Saccharomyces cerevisiae S288C: one gene and its partners. The protein of the gene in region 2 binds, or shares a complex with, the protein of the main gene of each other region. Each region holds a gene or a part of one and is shown on either strand. Other genes may lie near its edges. A codon is read from its position in the direction of its gene.

Region 1 (3,972 bases), on a different chromosome or scaffold from region 2:
CCATTGCCGAAACGCTTCTAGAAGTACCATTCGTGATCGACATGATCAGTGCTAATTAGAAAGAAAATAACAGGCGACAGGGACGAAAACAAGAGCTTGGGAAAACGTAATAGCAAAAAATGAATGGCAACTAAAATTATCTCTATGATGTCCTGTGTTGCTTATGCTCCCGAGGCACCGATTCTGATTCAACAATGCTATTGAATTTACTCATTCAAGAAAGGGGGTTCATAGGATTATGGCTTTTATTCAGTATTTTTAAGTTTTTTCGGTTATTGAGCTCTGAATAGGGCATTTTCAGAATGGCGGGGTTCACCTAAAAAAAATGAAAAACAAATATAGGTCATAACTCGTCTGAATTTTCGAAGAGCTCATCAGACGTTTTTCAGTAGGGTTATATGAGAAGTTTTTTAGTCGTTTTAAGATACATCACTAAGTATTGTTGGTTATGGGAAAGCAAAGCTAGCAAGCCTAGTACTATTACAATTGTTCGTGATATGTATACATTTATAGAGTATTTAAAACGGTTTTCAGAAGTTTTTCAAGTTCCGCATACGTGTAGGGTACCCAAATAATTTCCATTCCAGAATTGTTCTTAGTTATGTTGGCCATTTTATGTTCTATGAATTCTCTAAGCATCGACCTTAGAGCTATCTCATTAGAAGCAATAAAATCAGCGGCACAGAGATGGTTGAAAAGTTTAAGTTCTACTCCAGTTCTTTGAGTACCACGCTTAGGACCTGTGTTAGCGGATAGATTCCCCATATTCTGCATTTGTGTTTCAATAAGCAACTTATACATCTTCTTGGAGTTCACAGTAAGTGATTGTAAGACGTATTTCGCACCTTCAGCACCACTGCTGGTATCGCTTTTACCCATCTTCATCACATCTTGGAACGTAGACTCGACTGTCGACGGTTCAAAATTCGAAATATCATGAAAGACAAAGTTGTAGTTTTGGGCCTTCATGTTGTCCCAGAGGAGCGGAGCGTAAATGTGGTCTGTAGAGGCGACTATGGCGATTTGTCTGATGACGGAGAGGAAGCTTAGCATCGTCTGAAAAGTGTTTTTCCTTATGCTAGGACCATCCAGATTATGCACTACAAGTATTAATTTGATATCTAAAGGTTGATTTTTGTAGAAATCAATCATCTTTTGGATCTGCAAAATCACATGATTGCCCCAGTACTTAGTTTCGCTTCTTGTCAACTCAGCGGGGACCAAAAGATCGGTAATCTCTTTGAAGACGTCACGATAGTTACAGCTAGGGTTGTAACCATTTAAAATAAGGCATGGGATGGAATTTACAGGTTTGTTTTGTTGTAATTCATTCTCATAAGCCAGTTGCGAGTACGCGATTTTCGGAGACAAGTAGTCAATGGCAAACTCTTCCAAAAAATTACGTTTCGAACCTACACCATAAAATAATAAGGAGAATCCTTGAGTCAATTCAAACCAATACTGGGGAAACATTTTTTTCTGAATTTCAAATAACTTTTGCCTGGGACGTTTTTGAAAATTTTCGTTGAAAAAGTTTGATACTAGGGAAAACTCTTCTCTGGTAACGTCAGGTGCCATTGACATGGTGTGCCTTGACTTCGCATTAGTTCTGACAATTTTTCTTTGGTCGAAATATCCTTCAAAAGTATCCAAAAACGAGCTTGCTGACTTGGTTTCCGAAGTTTGGTAGAGCTTTTTATTTTTCGGTACAGGGGTTGGAGTAAAATTTCTACTCAAGGTTAATTTACCTGGGGAGGTTGAGTCTTTATATTCTTTTAAATTATTCATTATAATTTGCTTTAGGGGCGAAGTAAAATCATGATTAGTGGTTAAAGACTTCTTAGATGGTGTTGCAGGTTCTGGTGGCTCGGGTGAATTTGATACAAAATTATCATCAGTTTGTGGAGTCACATTATCTTCATATGTTGTGGTCGCTACCTGTATTTTTTCGCGTTCTCTTTTCTCTTTTATCCCCGTCTTTTCCATCACCTGCTTGTTGTTAGAAGTCTTGCTTTCCTCATTGACATTACCTGATGTATCTTTGTCCAATTTCCTCTTTTTCTTAGAGGAAATTGTATCTTTCTCATCCTTCTTGATCCTATCAGTTAATTCTTCCTGTATCTTTCTTGGTCTTCCACGTTTACGGGGAGCTTTACTTGGCGTTTTAGGTTTGAGTGCCGGATCTGGAGATGTATTTTTCCTTTCGTTGCCTACAAGCGAGATTCTTTCCAACAAATTCTTCTTTGATGAATGAATTCTTCTCAGTTGTCTTTCTCCATGTGGGTCAACCCTTTTTGGGGTTACATTCCTGCTTTTTGCCGGAGACGATAGGATATCATTATGCTCTACAAAGTCTTCCCCATTTAGCATGTTATGGCAATTCGCAGTACTACAAAAACTTGTTTTAAAGATATAGCAAATAAGATCAATGATCAATTATCAAATACAATTTCAGCTAATATATTCTACTTTGTCTTAATTTAAAGGTGGTTCCTATTTCTTTATAACTTTTACACATTGTGAAGAATAACAATTCTGCTTACTATTGTCATTTCCACCTCAATGATGCGGTGAGTGGGTGTTCTGAAAAATTTTCCCGATTTTGCTAGACTAGAAATTGGTACTAGCTGATCCATATCACATTTACGCGAATAAGTCGATATTTATGCATGGATATTTGGCCTTTTACGACACTTATTCTTATGATCCATTGAAAGATGGTTCATATTACATATAAAGGTGCCACAGCAAGTTAATGTCACGGCAGCTAGTGACGCTATTGCTAGTTTACACCTAGATGAGGCCACTGGAGAAATGGTCTCTAAGACAGAGTTGAAGAAGCGTATTAAGGGAATACAAATTGAGGCCAAAAAGCTGTCAAAAAGACTCTTGCGAAACCAAAACCAGCTTCGAAAAGACTAATTTCCTGGCCGGTTTATAGTCATCTCAATACTAGATCACAGCAAATCCAATTAAGAAACAGACTCTTGATATAAATTTTTATCCATACAAGTTCCGATTATATATATTCAATCCTGAATTTTTGGCCAAGTATGCCCATTCAAAAAGGCGAAAATTTCCCTTAAGAGAAGTTTCACATTGCTAGGAGAGTTCATGCAGAAAGAGAATCAGCTTAAAAATTGAAATTCTACGTTCTCAATGGTGGTGTTGAGCTCTAAATTATTTTACAATTTCAGGATTATTACGACGAGAACCCATAAAAAGGAGCATGACCTTTAAGGAGGAGTAATATATATCCACCAAAGAAGACCGGCGGAGATGAGATATATTTTTTTCGTTAACAGAGTGCAATTGACAACTTGTTTGCACTTGCCTGCTAACTGTTTTGGTTTCAAAGATCAAGAAAATAGATAGAACCCGTTTTATTATTCAATTGACATCGCCCGTTATATCAGACGATTTTTGGATCAAAAAAAGTTTATTGGAGCAGAAGCAATTCTGAAATGAAGGTCCTAATATGACCCCAATATGACACATAATTCGGAATCTGCCACTTGTGAGTTTTATCAAGCCTATGCGGATGTTTGTGACTAGTTGGATATGACTGAATTAATACTTTCAGAAATGGACAAGGAGATATGTGATTCTCTATTATCAAATACCATTTGAACCTTACTGGTCCAGCTAAAAAAGAGCTAGAATTCATCTGTTCTAGCCCATGGAAGAGAACCGATATGATTGGCAGATAGAAACCATACTGATTCGCGTCGTATCTAGCACAACCCACGTAAGAACCTTAATTGACGAACAGTCAAACCTTCTTGGCTTTTACAACCGAGAGGAAATACTAAGTCAACATCAAGGTGGCAAACACAATTCACAGTATCTAATTTTTCGTTATATCACATTGGAAAAAGTATTAACGTATAATTTCCATCTGCTGAGCACTTGCTGCCGTTGAGACCGGCGAATTTTTGAAAGAAGTGTATGCCAATAATAAATTGGAAAGCC
Region 2 (5,228 bases):
AGTACGATTTACTAATAGACTTAGACCCGGAATATCAGGAACAAATCTCGAGAACGAGTATGAAGTATGCACAGGTCATGAATGCTCCTCTTATATTCTGCTCTACTGCCAAATCTATAAACATTCAAAAAATTTTCAAAATTGCACTGGCAAAGATCTTTAATTTGACATTAACCATCCCAGAAATCAATGAAATCGGCGATCCTCTTTTGATATATAAGCACCTAGGTGGCCAGCAACATCGACATCATAACAAAAGTCAGGATAGAAAGAGCCATAATATCAGGAAGCCCTCCTCGTCGCCCTCATCTAAGGCACCATCGCCGGGCGTTAATACATGAAAACAACTATACCCGCCTGCTACCATGTGAGAGTTGGCGTTAGCATATTTTAAATCAAGCTACACAATAGCTTTAAGGAGATATAGAAGGTATGTACATCCACAATATCGTATGTTTTGGATAAATGCGCTACTATGTAGGTATATGTATGTGTATGCTAGGTCATGAATAATAAAAACCGAATCTATAAATTTCTCAATGTCTCATCCTCATTCATGGCTCTTTTGGCTTCTTCTACTGATATATTTAGCTTGACACAACATATTCTATCGTTCTTCATAGTTTGTTTAAACAATATTCCCGCGTCAAGTAACTGATTGAGAACGAAATCCCATGATATAATTCTCAATTGTTCAGAAATATTATCACTTCCCTGTTGGAACAATGTTTTGGCTATCTCCATGACAAACTTATTACTGCCATTTACTTCAATAAGTAACTTGATTTCATCGACAATATCGCCCAGTTCTTGCTCTTGAGATCCGTTCTTTTTCATCAAGTTTAATAATGCATAAATAAACAGTTTTGCTGTAAATGAAAGTCGCGTCATAAACGTAATTACATGAGAATTTAAAGTTTCGTTTAAGGCTTTCATAACGTGCGTGATGTGAACTGTTTGTACCCCATCATTGTCATCATCGTCATCATTATCGTCTTTGGCTTTGTTACTTTCAATAAGATCCTTGTCTTCATCATCGTATATTTGCTCCTCATTTTCATCTTCAATAACCGTCTTTCCATCATATCCATAACCATGCTTAGCCATATAGTGTTTTTCAGCAATTTCAGCTGCTCTTTTACAAACCTTCAATGCTCTTCTTGCATCACCACTAACACTTGCTACTTTTCTCGAAGCTATTTCAATGGCATCAGCACTCATTCTTAAGCGAACTTTCCTCACGTCTTCAGGCAACGTTTGCTTAACTGTAGTGTCGTTTCCAGCCGCATCAATCAAAATAGCATTGCCAGTTTTTGTATCAACATAGAAAAATGAGTCGTTCAACCCCTTCAGTCTTAAATCAATGATATTTTTTAGCTCTTCGTGCGTATACCCAGTGAACATAATTCTGGTAAACCCAATTCTTGAAGTAATCTTATTGCCTAGCTGACGTTCTGGTAAGTCCATTGTATTGGCTACTGCAATGACAATAAGTTTGGCATTTTCGTAAGTAGTCCAATTGAAAAAATTGTACATAATATCTTGAGATTTCGTTACCATGGCATCGAGTTCGTCCAACAAGACTACAATGGTTTTCTTCTTATTTTTTGGAACTCTTTTAAAGTAAAACTCTAGTGACTCCATTGAAGCTGCCCATGTTAACCTTTCTCCTGACACTTTGTTCCATAAAGTTTCGTAACAGTCTGTGGGTTTTACCATTTTCAATCCATTTATTTCCACATAAAGAAAGTCTGGTATTTCTCGTTGTGCAGAAGACGATAGTAGTTCCTTTACGACTTCCCTTACGGTTAAAGTTTTCCCTACACCAGGCGTACCAGCCACGTATATAGTAGTAGCGGAGTCGGACTCAATGGCACTATATGCACTTAAATAAATTGAGGCGAATTCATTCTCCCTAGCCGGTAAATAATCTTGGAAATTTGCAGACTTCAATATTTCTTCTTTGACATACGAAGAGTTCAACTGTTTTTTGACTTTAGAAAAAATTGTTTCTACAATCTGATGCTTTTGGGTTGTTTTTAATTTGTTTTCAAACCTTGATGCCATCAATTCCGAAGAATTTCCGTAAAATTCAGGTAATGAAGTTAAATCTGGTATTGCAGCTATAGATTTAAATCTTTTCGAAAACGGGGTATATTTCTTTTTCGCCCTAGCAACATTCTTTTTTGTAAATTTCCTAATCACAGGAGTATTATTTGCACGGCATGAAGATATCAATAGCATCTGACGCGGTTTACTAGGATCTTTAGGTTTACGACCTCTTTTTTTGGGGGGAGGTTGTACAGAAGCGTCAATATCATCTTTACCTAGTTTTATCTTACGGCCTCTTTTCCTTGGTGAATTTGTATGCCTAGCTTCTTTCTCTTCTTCGTCTTCGTCTTCTTCTTCGTCTTCTTCTTCCTCAAGCTCATCTGCGGATATTTCACCGCTGTCCATATCCTCGCTAACGTCGATATCTGACGGACTTTCATAATCAGATGATTCATCTTCATTACCGTCCTCATTATCCGTTATATCTGTAGCTCTTGTTTCTGCGTCTGAAATTTGTGCCGTTTGAGTAGCCTTATCTTTCTTTTGAGGACCTCTTTTGATCTCTTTCTTCTTTGATGGAAGTGTTAAATCTTTCAAATATTCCTGGGCTTCCCTTGGCTCCACTTTCTTTATGTAAGCTTTGACATCCTCAATATTAATGTCCACAAATTTCTCCCCAGTCGGCTCACAAATATAACGAACTGTAAAGTCTCTTTCTGGATCGACATTTCCTTTCAATACTTCCCATTTGCTTCCATCCATTACGTTGGCAACCCTGATAAAGTTAAATAGCTGCAATTCGGCTAATTCTGCAGTGAGATACAGTTCATTTTTATTTGCAGTTTCAGAAAACAGTTTATTGTAATAATTTAAAGGACGATTCAAAATGTTAGCGTCAGGATTAAACTGCCTATAATGAGCTAAAGGATTGACTTCAAACCATCGTAAATAGGTGAGAGCCCAGAGTTCGACAACATTATTTAATGTATTAAGTCTCAACTCCTGGATCATATAAACGGAGTAAGTCCCAGCGGCTTCGTTGTGCATGACTACACTATCACCACGACCTAGTTTAATTCCATCAGAACTTCTCTTTAAGTAATGTTCAGTTTTTGCACCTCTTCGGCGTAATCTCTTCTGACCTCCATCGATTATATTTCCCTGCTCATCAGTTGTTATTATCTCCCAACCCTGTAAATCCTTCAACGTTTTTGCCATCTTATCTACTCTATTGTGGTTTTTGTAATGAGTATTAATCAATAGGGAATGAGTTCCTGCTTCTGGAAACTTTTAGGCTGAATTTGCCGCCTATGCAGTTTTCTTTCCCTTTGCGCAACTTCATCTCTTCTCAATGTTGTTGTTTTTCTATGATTTTCGATCTGGCCGTGTCAACGTTAATAAAAAATAAGTCGAGGAAGAGAGTAGTTACATATGTAGTGGTGTTCGTTGGTGCAATATTTGTTGATATAACGATGAGACAGGTCACCAAAGAATTTCAAATATTTGAGGTTTATATCTTTTCTAATTTGGCGCCAAGTTATTATCCTGTGATACCCAGTAAGACAAAAAATGCCCCATAGCAGTCCTTATCTTAATACTGACCATTATGAAGGGGCTTACATTGTACAAACATATTTGTAATAGAATGTACCGGATATTTAAAATAACCCAAGCATCAATTGTGTAGTATTCTTAATTTTTTTTCTTGGTAAATTTTTGGGAGAACATTTTTTTGTGTCATCTTAGGGGAAATTATAAACCATTATACACTCCATACCATGCACTTACTTAAATTCTATGGACACATCCATCAATTAAAAGATAAAACTAATAAATAGAAGCATGTTATATATGAATATATATATTCTTTCTGTCATAATATAAAAGGGCGAGCATGTTATTCCCTAAACGTCTGATTGTGTGGGGTGTTCTATTGATTTTAAGTTTATCACAATTTGTCCTCTACCTGCCAGCCACAACATGTACGAACTCTAAGGGACTTAGGTTATGCGCTCCACAGTTTACTATAACTGTGATTGGAGGATCCAGTACTGCAAATGAGTTTATTGCAAGTGTAAGAGAATTTCTGCGATTGATTTCGTACCTGACAATTGACATGGGTTGGTCGAATGAATTCACTGATCCAAGTGTGTATGAGGATGAAAATTTGGTGGACACATTTCAGCCTGATAAGGTTTTTGAGCTCAATTATTTTGGATTTTGTAAACGGAGTAATAAAAGCAAAGTTTATTGTACCTCTAATGAGAATTATGGCATGGACGTACTTGAAGTACTTGTCAGAGACGTCGGGATTCAATTAGGTAACATTTCCACTACACGATCGAATGAAACCAAAAAATTCGGAGACTCTCTCGTATTGACCTACCGTTTGGCATTGACATCTATTCGTGATTTTTTGAAACACGACAAGCACACAGGAAATGCCCTATCAAAGGCTTTGATTGGCAGTCCTGATCCAAATGTAAAAGGCGTGTCACCAACAAAAAACTATCTGAAAGGCGTCAACCTGGCATTTATACTGATGATGTTCAACGGCATGGTTTTTTACTTTGCAGTGTTGGAAATAATAGTCGGATTCCTCAGTATCTGCGTAGTGTCAGCCTTTGGGGGAGCACTTAGTGTTGGGAAACGACACCGCTTATTTCCTATGCTTTTGAAGTCATCAAGTTCAATATTAGTTGTTATTGCTACATTGACAATATTATGTAACATCGTATATTTGATTGCACTGAAAACATTAGAACCTGAAGAGGTAACAGACGTAGGATCTGACAACGCTGCTGTACACACTACAGGCTGGGAACTGTTAAAAGTAAACGTGGGAAGTGGGTTCATTATGGGGCTCGCCAGGTATGCCATCCAGTGGGTCCTATTGGTACTCGCATTTCTTGCAGCAAATCATTACAAAGCTAAGCCCAAAAAGTCTGATAAGTATACAGAAGACACATCTAACTCCCCTTCTCCAGACTTGATGGAGAAGTAATTCACCACAGAACTTTTTTTTCAAATGACAGTAAATATGTAAACATATACACAGCCTTTCAGTATATTAAGTATTTTTGCATAACGTCCTTTTTTCCCGCTCGGTCAAGGCTTTGAAAAGATATTATCAATGTTCTATTCTTACTGAGAAAAGCGTTCCTCCAAAATGCTTT
Region 3 (3,910 bases), on a different chromosome or scaffold from region 2:
GATAGATATAACTACAGAGTTAGAGAAGATCAGTAGACCAATAAGCGGGATTATCATAAAACTCGAGTTTATATTAGCTTTCATCTGTCTTTAGGAAAATAATACCATAATAAAAAGGACACATCATGGCTCCACCAAAGAAAACCGTAAAGAAGATGGACCTTACGTCATTTTTAAATGATGACACCTTTGGTTCATCTTGGGCTGAAGAAGATGTCGATTTGAATAAGATCACAATTCCTATTGAAACCGCTAATGCAAACACTATTCCATTGTCCGAATTGGCTCATGCTAAAAACAACAGCAATAACACGCGTTCAGGCGGCTTTGGTGGCAGTTTTGGAGGTAGATCTAGATTAGACCCTGCTTTGGGGGGCGGTTCTTCCGATAGAAGAGAGGAATACCCTGTTCCAGATGCTCCACCATATAGGGCTGTCATAAACAACATTCCATGGGATATTACCCCAGAGGGTGTTCAAGCCTGGGTTGAAGATGGTTTAGTTAAGCCTGAAGCGGTTGAAGAAGTTGTTTTGCCAAAGAATCTAAGAGACCCAACAAGATTAAAGGGTAATGCTTTCGTTACTTTGAAAGAAAGAGCAGATTTGGTCGCCGTTCTGAAGTTCAACGGTACTAAATTGAATGAGAGAACTGTTTACGTTTCTGTTGCGGCTCCAAGAAGAGGGGGAGGTGCAGATGTTGATTGGAGTAGTGCTAGAGGCTCCAATTTCCAAGGTGATGGAAGAGAAGATGCACCAGATCTTGATTGGGGTGCCGCTAGAGGTTCTAACTTCAGAGGTCCAAGAAGAGAAAGAGAAGAAGTTGATATTGACTGGACTGCTGCAAGAGGTTCCAATTTCCAAGGCTCTTCCAGACCACCAAGAAGAGAAAGAGAAGAAGTTGATATCGACTGGAGCGCTGCAAGAGGCTCCAATTTCCAAGGCTCTTCCAGACCACCAAGAAGAGAAAGAGAAGAGCCAGATATTGACTGGAGTGCAGCTAGAGGCTCTAACTTTCAAAGCTCCTCGAGGCCACCAAGAAGAGAAAGAGAAGAGCCAGATATTGACTGGAGTGCAGCCAGAGGTTCCAACTTCCAAAGCTCCTCAAGACCACCAAGAAGAGAAAGAGAAAAGGAAGAACCAGCTTTGGATTGGGGTGCTGCCAGAGGTGCTCAGTTTGGTAAGCCTCAACAAACCAAAAATACCTACAAGGATAGGTCTCTAACTAACAAAAAGACTACTGATGAGCAACCAAAAATCCAGAAGTCTGTTTATGATGTTTTACGTACTGAAGATGATGATGAAGATGAAGAGGCTGAAAAGCAAAATGGAGACGCAAAAGAAAACAAAGTTGATGCGGCAGTTGAAAAGCTACAGGATAAAACTGCTCAATTGACTGTTGAAGATGGTGACAATTGGGAAGTTGTTGGTAAGAAATAGAGTGTTGTATGATGATAAAATGTACATTTGTATTTACTGTTTGCTTTTTTTCTTTCTTGTTTTTCTACTCTCCTTTCTACCAGGTATTCTAACTCTATTATATAATTAAAAAAAAAATAACCATATATTTTGTATTAAGTTTCATACATGTGTTCAAGTGTATTTTTGGATTTATCATTTTTCTATGTGAGGTAAGTTTTTGAATGTCCCATTTTCCTTTCGTTTTTGGAAAGTTCTAAGAAAAAGCATTAACAATTAAAAAAAAAAAAAAAATCTAAATAATACTGATAGAAATATCAAATATAAACTACTAATATCGGTAATATTCAAAAGAAGAAGCATGACTATAAGCGAAGCTCGTCTATCACCGCAAGTCAATCTTCTCCCAATAAAGAGGCACTCAAACGAAGAGGTAGAGGAGACTGCAGCGATTCTAAAAAAGCGTACTATAGATAATGAAAAGTGTAAAGACAGCGACCCTGGTTTTGGTTCCCTTCAAAGAAGGTTACTGCAGCAACTTTATGGCACACTTCCTACGGACGAAAAGATAATCTTCACATATTTACAAGATTGTCAACAAGAGATCGATAGAATCATTAAACAATCCATTATTCAGAAAGAGAGTCATTCAGTAATTCTCGTGGGGCCCAGACAAAGTTACAAAACATACTTATTAGACTATGAACTGTCTTTGTTGCAACAATCTTATAAAGAGCAGTTTATAACTATCAGGTTGAATGGGTTTATTCACTCCGAACAAACAGCTATTAACGGTATAGCAACTCAATTGGAACAGCAGTTGCAGAAAATTCATGGCAGTGAAGAAAAAATTGACGATACTTCATTAGAGACTATTAGCAGTGGTTCTTTGACAGAAGTGTTTGAGAAAATTCTTTTACTCTTAGATTCGACCACGAAGACAAGAAATGAAGATAGTGGTGAGGTTGACAGAGAGAGTATAACAAAGATAACAGTTGTTTTTATATTCGATGAAATTGATACATTTGCTGGGCCTGTGAGGCAAACTTTATTATACAATCTTTTTGACATGGTAGAACATTCTCGGGTACCTGTTTGCATTTTTGGCTGCACAACGAAATTAAATATCTTGGAATATTTAGAAAAGAGGGTAAAGAGTAGATTTTCTCAAAGAGTGATTTATATGCCGCAAATACAGAATCTAGACGATATGGTTGACGCCGTCAGAAATTTACTTACAGTTCGCTCTGAAATCTCCCCCTGGGTTTCACAATGGAATGAAACGTTGGAAAAAGAACTATCCGACCCTCGATCGAATTTGAATAGACATATTAGGATGAATTTCGAAACCTTTAGGTCATTACCTACATTGAAAAATAGCATAATTCCATTAGTAGCGACATCCAAAAATTTTGGTTCACTCTGCACTGCCATAAAATCGTGTTCTTTTCTTGACATATACAATAAGAACCAACTATCTAATAATTTAACAGGAAGGCTCCAATCTTTATCCGATTTAGAGTTAGCCATTTTGATCTCAGCCGCTAGGGTTGCCTTAAGGGCGAAAGACGGATCTTTTAATTTTAATTTAGCTTATGCAGAGTATGAAAAGATGATTAAAGCTATCAACTCCAGAATTCCCACCGTGGCTCCTACTACAAATGTGGGAACAGGTCAAAGTACTTTTTCTATCGACAATACTATCAAACTATGGTTGAAAAAGGACGTCAAGAACGTTTGGGAAAATTTAGTGCAACTGGATTTTTTTACCGAGAAATCAGCCGTTGGTTTGAGAGATAATGCGACCGCAGCATTTTACGCTAGCAATTATCAATTTCAGGGCACCATGATCCCGTTTGACTTGAGAAGTTACCAGATGCAGATCATTCTTCAGGAATTAAGAAGAATTATCCCCAAATCTAATATGTACTACTCCTGGACACAACTGTGAATCTTGGGAACAATATACAGACATTTTATTGGCGGTAGCAACTCTGATATTCCACTGTTCAGCTTTCCTAATAAGTAAGTTCAAGATTATGTGGTCATCGCGTCGAACGGAAATACACCCATACACCAAACCTCTGTGAATTTGAAAAATTCACATATGCATTTAATAGAGCATAGGCAATGTAGAGAGAGAAATTAACAATGGTGAAAAGAAATATTACCAAACACCAGCAAAAGAAATTGTATAGTATTAGCAGTACATTCGTGGTCAAGCAGAATAACAGTAAAATAATATGAGTGATAATGGTTCCCCCGCGGTTCTTCCAAAAACCGAATTTAATAAATACAAAATCGGCAAAGTGAAGAGTACACCAGCCATCCAGCGAGATGCGAAGACTAACTTAACATACATCAAACTAAGAAAAAGAAGTAGTGAGAAAGTTTACGGGTGTACAGTTTTCCAGAATCATTATCGTGAGGATGAAAAATTAGGACAAGGAACATTTGGTGAGGTTTATAAGGGAATTCATTTAGAGACTCAAAGA
Region 4 (4,416 bases), on a different chromosome or scaffold from region 2:
TATTTCTTTCCGCCCACAAACACAAAGGGCGTTTAGTAAATTATGCGGCGATGTATAAAAGAGAAAGCAGGCAAAAAGAAAATGAAAAATGAGACTATGAACTTTAAGAATTATGTCTTGACTAATTTTTTAAAACCCATCATCCATGAAGAGTTCTGTTTGTATTGTTTACGTTTGATGTTTGAAGTGAATTTAATAGAATTGTTCCTCTTTTTTTCTTCTTTTTTTAACTATAATATAATGTTTAGTATATCAACAGTACTATTTAGGCCTTAGACTTTCTATGAACTCTCTCTTACTCTGTGAGTAGTTGGTAAATTCGTTTTCGTATTGATCTTCCTCAGCAATTTCCCCGATATTGCCCACATCATAGTTATTCTGTAATTTGTATAAATCCTTATCTTTATCTGTTATTGCAGACCTGCTATCCTTTACCGAGTGGTCAGCATCCATTCCTTCGTTATCTTTATCAAAAGTGTTTGGTAACTGTGATTGAGCCGCACTTTTGGGTGTTGCAAACACATCCTCTAGGGCATCGCGCTTATTTACCGATGTTATAGAGGAATTCCTTGTATGGAAGGACGCGTTTGAAATGTTACCATTTAAAAACGAGGATGAAGCTCTCCTTGGGTAATACGAACCAAAGTCCTGATTCTGCAAATTTCTTATCAGATTTTCATTACTAGATTGGCGAGTATTATGTTTAAGTTCTATCATCGAAGCTTTGTTTTGGTCATTGCTAGTATTAGTATCACTGGAAGGATCTGCGAAAAAGTTTGGTCCTTCATCAGAAATAACAGGGACCATCTGATCATAAACGCTGATCTGTCTCTTTGTTATATGCCGTTGGGAAGATGATAAGGAAACATTGGAGCTGTTATTTATACTTGGTAAATCCACAACGGACTTCTGCCTGGCATTATTGCCGTAGTTATTATTTCGTACTTGAAGTAAATTTATTTTCCTACGGTATGCTGGCACATAGTATTTACTATTCTTTTTCCCTAACGGTTTCTCTTGATCTCGCGATTTTCCATCTTTTTCTTCTGGATGAGCAGATCCTTCCGATGAACCAGAAGTGTGATCAGGATTTTTTAGCTCGGAGCTGGCTAGTGCTGCTTCATCTTTACTGTCTCTTAAGGGTCCAAAATTGTCAAAGGACACGAAACCACTTTCATCATAAATAGCCCTTTCCAATTCTCTATCGTCTTGTTCCTCCCTCTTGTATCTTTTTTGTAGGTTAAACCAGAAACATACTGCTATTATAATACCTACACCGACGGGTATACCCACCGCACAACCCACCGCAACTGATGTGCTGGCAGTCATCTCTTTTACTTCTTACTACGATGAGCTCCCAAAAAAAAAATATATCCCTGATAAATAACACAAAACTAAGAAGCCGGACCTAGGTGAAGAGTAAAATAAGGACTCGAAATTTTGTCTAATACTCAATAACTCAGTACAAAAACTGCCTCACAGTATAAAATATCCAACTTAGAGATATTCGTTTTAATTGTCCCGAGCAGGCAAACGATAACTGATCCTTAGTCACAATAATAAGTCTATGCTTTCTGTTGAAAAAGAACAAATAGCGAGCGAGTCAGCAAGCAGAATCTAAAGAGGCTTGCAACGAATGGTAGGCAAAGAATTTCTAACCCGAAACCTCAAGCGAATGGTGGATTCCTTACTTCCAATCTTCTAAAAGTCTTTAACTCTGATTTCGAGGATCAGTACTTTTTCTATGGTTTATTAATATCGGCCTCGAAAAGTTTGTCGCGAGAATTTGGGCACATGTGACCCGGAATGTATATTGAGTAATATAAGAATGAGAACAATAATGTCAATAATCACACGTCGTTATAAGCAGCTGAAAAATTATAAGATAATATCAAAAAAAATGCTACAGATCAACTCCAGGCTTGCAGTTATTGATGGATGGCTGGTAGACACTGTGAAGCGAAAACCAATAAATTTTCGGAGTCCTGAAGTAAGATTACTGTTACCCAATGACGATGACTACAAAAAGCTATCACAACAAAACTTGGTGGACTGGACGCGATTAAAGAAGGATTCTAATTCGGTGCTCGTTGGAGTGAAATCTATGGAACTATTTAAACACATAAAGCTAGTTTTGCGAGAGTTTTTCTTGTTAGAAGATGGAAGAATAATTCTGAAGAGGATCAGAAGCAAATTACGTTACAAAGTTGTCAAGAAATTAACTTGTAAATGCTGCAGGTTATATTTACCAAAATGGGGCACCGTGTACATACATCCGATGCTAAAAGATAAAGAAAAGCCCTTAGCGGGGGTATGTGAATTTTCATTGGATGTAAACCCTGATCGGGAGTATCCCCTTATTGAGATCAATGTTAGTCATCAATACATTATAATTGAGGGCTTCCTTCTATACTTAAATGAAAGGAGGCTCTATAGGTGGAACGATAACAATTTGAGGAGTCAGGTTGGCTTAACAAAATGGGCCCATTTAAGAAAAACTTACAATCCGGTAAGCCTTGACATACTTTATAGTTTGAATTCAAATTTTTATTTTGTAAAGGATGATCTGCTATTTCAATTATTAGGAAAGAGGGTATTTGTTAAATTTTGTAAAGTAATGGAAAATGGAAAATGCGGTAAGGCTCCACTGTGGTATCGTGTGAAGAGAACGACAACTGCCAAAGCAACACATATTGCATATGCCATATCAAATTCAACAGCCCCAGATTCATTCAAAAGTAAAAATAACGATTATAGGTTTATTGTCAGGGAAAAGCCAATTGTGGAGAATACTATCTCCAACCTGGATTATTCAGACATAAAAAAACAGCAGTTTACTGAAGCAGAGGTTGTAAAAAGAAAGATCTCAGCAGATATTTCTCAAATAGAGAATGTGCATACGCAATTTAATAGTCAAAAGGAAAAAAATAATATCAGGGTGAATAAGGTTTCTAGCGAGGTCCTAGATCAAATTTCGAAATTTCCTGTGTCCAGAGTCACCTTACTGTTGATGTCTGCTGGTCAAGATAAAAATTATATTGAACTTGTTGAAGAATTGGCAAGAAGGTTGGAAAAAATATGCATAGAAAAAACCACACAATCTTTAGAAGAGATAAGGGATACTTTTCAGGCGAATCCTGAGATGCAGGCTAGCTTTGATAAGGAATATTACCAGAGCATTGAAGAATATAAAATTACACTCGAACTTATTAAGGAAGACCTTTTGATTACTCTGATAAAACAAATGGAAAATATGTGGGCAGCTGAAAAAAAGTTTAGTACAGAGGAGGAGTATGTTTCGCCGAGGTTTTTAGTAGCAGATGGATTTCTAATCGACCTAGCAGAGGAAAAACCGATTAACCCAAAGGATCCGCGCTTACTGACACTGCTAAAAGATCATCAGCGTGCCATGATTGACCAAATGAATTTAGTTAAGTGGAATGACTTCAAAAAATATCAAGATCCTATCCCGCTGAAAGCCAAAACCTTATTTAAATTTTGTAAACAAATAAAGAAAAAATTCCTACGAGGTGCGGACTTCAAGTTACATACATTACCTACAGAAGCAAATTTAAAGTATGAGCCGGAGCGGATGACAGTTTTGTGTTCCTGTGTCCCTATTCTTTTGGATGACCAAACTGTCCAATATCTGTATGATGACAGCATTATTCCTGAATTTGAAGCAACATCTTCATATGCAACAAAGCAGTCAAAGTGTGGGCGGAAAATGTCTTTGCAAATGGAGCCTGACCTCCTTTTTCAAGAGGCCATTAGACGGATGCGACATTTAACTGCTTATGACGTTTTGAGAAGAAACTATATTGCGGCATTTGAGGAGCTATATATGGGAAACTGTAACGATTAAATAGTTGGTAAGATTATCAGTTATGGATACCAACATATAAGCGGGTGATGTCTCATTTCAATGAGGTCAGATAACTGGTACAGTTTCGCCTTTAATACACTTGTTTGACAGAAACTTGTTTTTAATTGCTTGATTAGCTAAGTAACTCGAGCCGTACTGTAGTACCGTTAAATATATATTATGTAGGACTTAGTAGAATATACTAATAATAGATACTGCAATTGATGATCCCAATTACTGTTTTATTGACTAACTTTCACTGAAATGTTTTCATTCTCTGATTTTATATTTAGTTGGCGAACTAGCTCATCCTAATTATAATTAAACTTATATATAGCATAAACCGACAATAATGCGTGGGTGGTCCTCCATGCCGAATTTGTGAACTGAATTATTATCTAAGCACTGGATCGATCACCTTAAGATGATATATTATTTATAACTAAAACGCAGCAGCATTACACTCCAGAGTAACTCCTGAATTTCGTCATGGCATGTACTTATACTATATAACCAACAAAGGATGACTGAATAAGAACCAAATACTTTTC

The links.
Region 1: ORC1 (region 2) and ORC2 share a complex: the UniProt entries of both Saccharomyces cerevisiae proteins name them as parts of the origin recognition complex.
Region 3: ORC1 (region 2) and ORC4 share a complex: the UniProt entries of both Saccharomyces cerevisiae proteins name them as parts of the origin recognition complex.
Region 4: the proteins of ORC1 (region 2) and SIR1 are in contact, whole or in part, in a crystal structure (PDB 1ZHI), measured with the Saccharomyces cerevisiae proteins. Residues at the interface, in NP_013646.1 of Saccharomyces cerevisiae: Glu61 (codon at 3,090), Ala62 (codon at 3,087), Ala63 (codon at 3,084), Gly64 (codon at 3,081), Thr65 (codon at 3,078), Tyr66 (codon at 3,075), Arg92 (codon at 2,997), Trp93 (codon at 2,994), Phe94 (codon at 2,991), Val96 (codon at 2,985), Pro98 (codon at 2,979), Leu116 (codon at 2,925), Asn117 (codon at 2,922), Asn120 (codon at 2,913), Lys121 (codon at 2,910), Ser124 (codon at 2,901), Glu125 (codon at 2,898); in NP_013027.4 of Saccharomyces cerevisiae: Glu463 (codon at 3,287), Glu464 (codon at 3,290), Tyr465 (codon at 3,293), Val466 (codon at 3,296), Ser467 (codon at 3,299), Pro468 (codon at 3,302), Arg469 (codon at 3,305), Leu480 (codon at 3,338), Ala481 (codon at 3,341), Glu482 (codon at 3,344), Arg492 (codon at 3,374), Thr495 (codon at 3,383), Leu496 (codon at 3,386), His500 (codon at 3,398), Met504 (codon at 3,410).

What each region holds. Positions count from the first base shown.
Region 1 is NC_001134.8:360,145-364,116, forward strand, and holds ORC2 (origin recognition complex subunit 2), read right to left. Parts: upstream 2,371-3,972; coding exon 508-2,370; downstream 1-507. Other genes in the region: serine/threonine protein kinase AKL1, read right to left, coding at 1-43. UniProt on the Saccharomyces cerevisiae protein: Component of the origin recognition complex (ORC) that binds origins of replication. It has a role in both chromosomal replication and mating type transcriptional silencing. Binds to the ARS consensus sequence (ACS) of origins of replication.
Region 2 is NC_001145.3:140,252-145,479, reverse strand, and holds ORC1 (origin recognition complex subunit 1), read right to left. Parts: upstream 3,271-5,228; coding exon 526-3,270; downstream 1-525. Other genes in the region: Ras family GTPase TEM1, read left to right, coding at 1-341; SMA2 (Sma2p), read left to right, coding at 3,947-5,056. UniProt on the Saccharomyces cerevisiae protein: Component of the origin recognition complex (ORC) that binds origins of replication. It has a role in both chromosomal replication and mating type transcriptional silencing. Binds to the ARS consensus sequence (ACS) of origins of replication.
Region 3 is NC_001148.4:866,171-870,080, reverse strand, and holds ORC4 (origin recognition complex subunit 4), read left to right. Parts: upstream 1-1,776; coding exon 1,777-3,366; downstream 3,367-3,910. Other genes in the region: TIF3 (Tif3p), read left to right, coding at 126-1,436; cyclin-dependent serine/threonine protein kinase SGV1, read left to right, coding at 3,659-3,910. UniProt on the Saccharomyces cerevisiae protein: Component of the origin recognition complex (ORC) that binds origins of replication. It has a role in both chromosomal replication and mating type transcriptional silencing. Binds to the ARS consensus sequence (ACS) of origins of replication.
Region 4 is NC_001143.9:638,640-643,055, forward strand, and holds SIR1 (Sir1p), read left to right. Parts: upstream 1-1,900; coding exon 1,901-3,865; downstream 3,866-4,416. Other genes in the region: SKG1 (Skg1p), read right to left, coding at 262-1,329. UniProt on the Saccharomyces cerevisiae protein: Involved in the establishment, but not the maintenance, of heterochromatic silencing at the cryptic mating-type loci HMR and HML.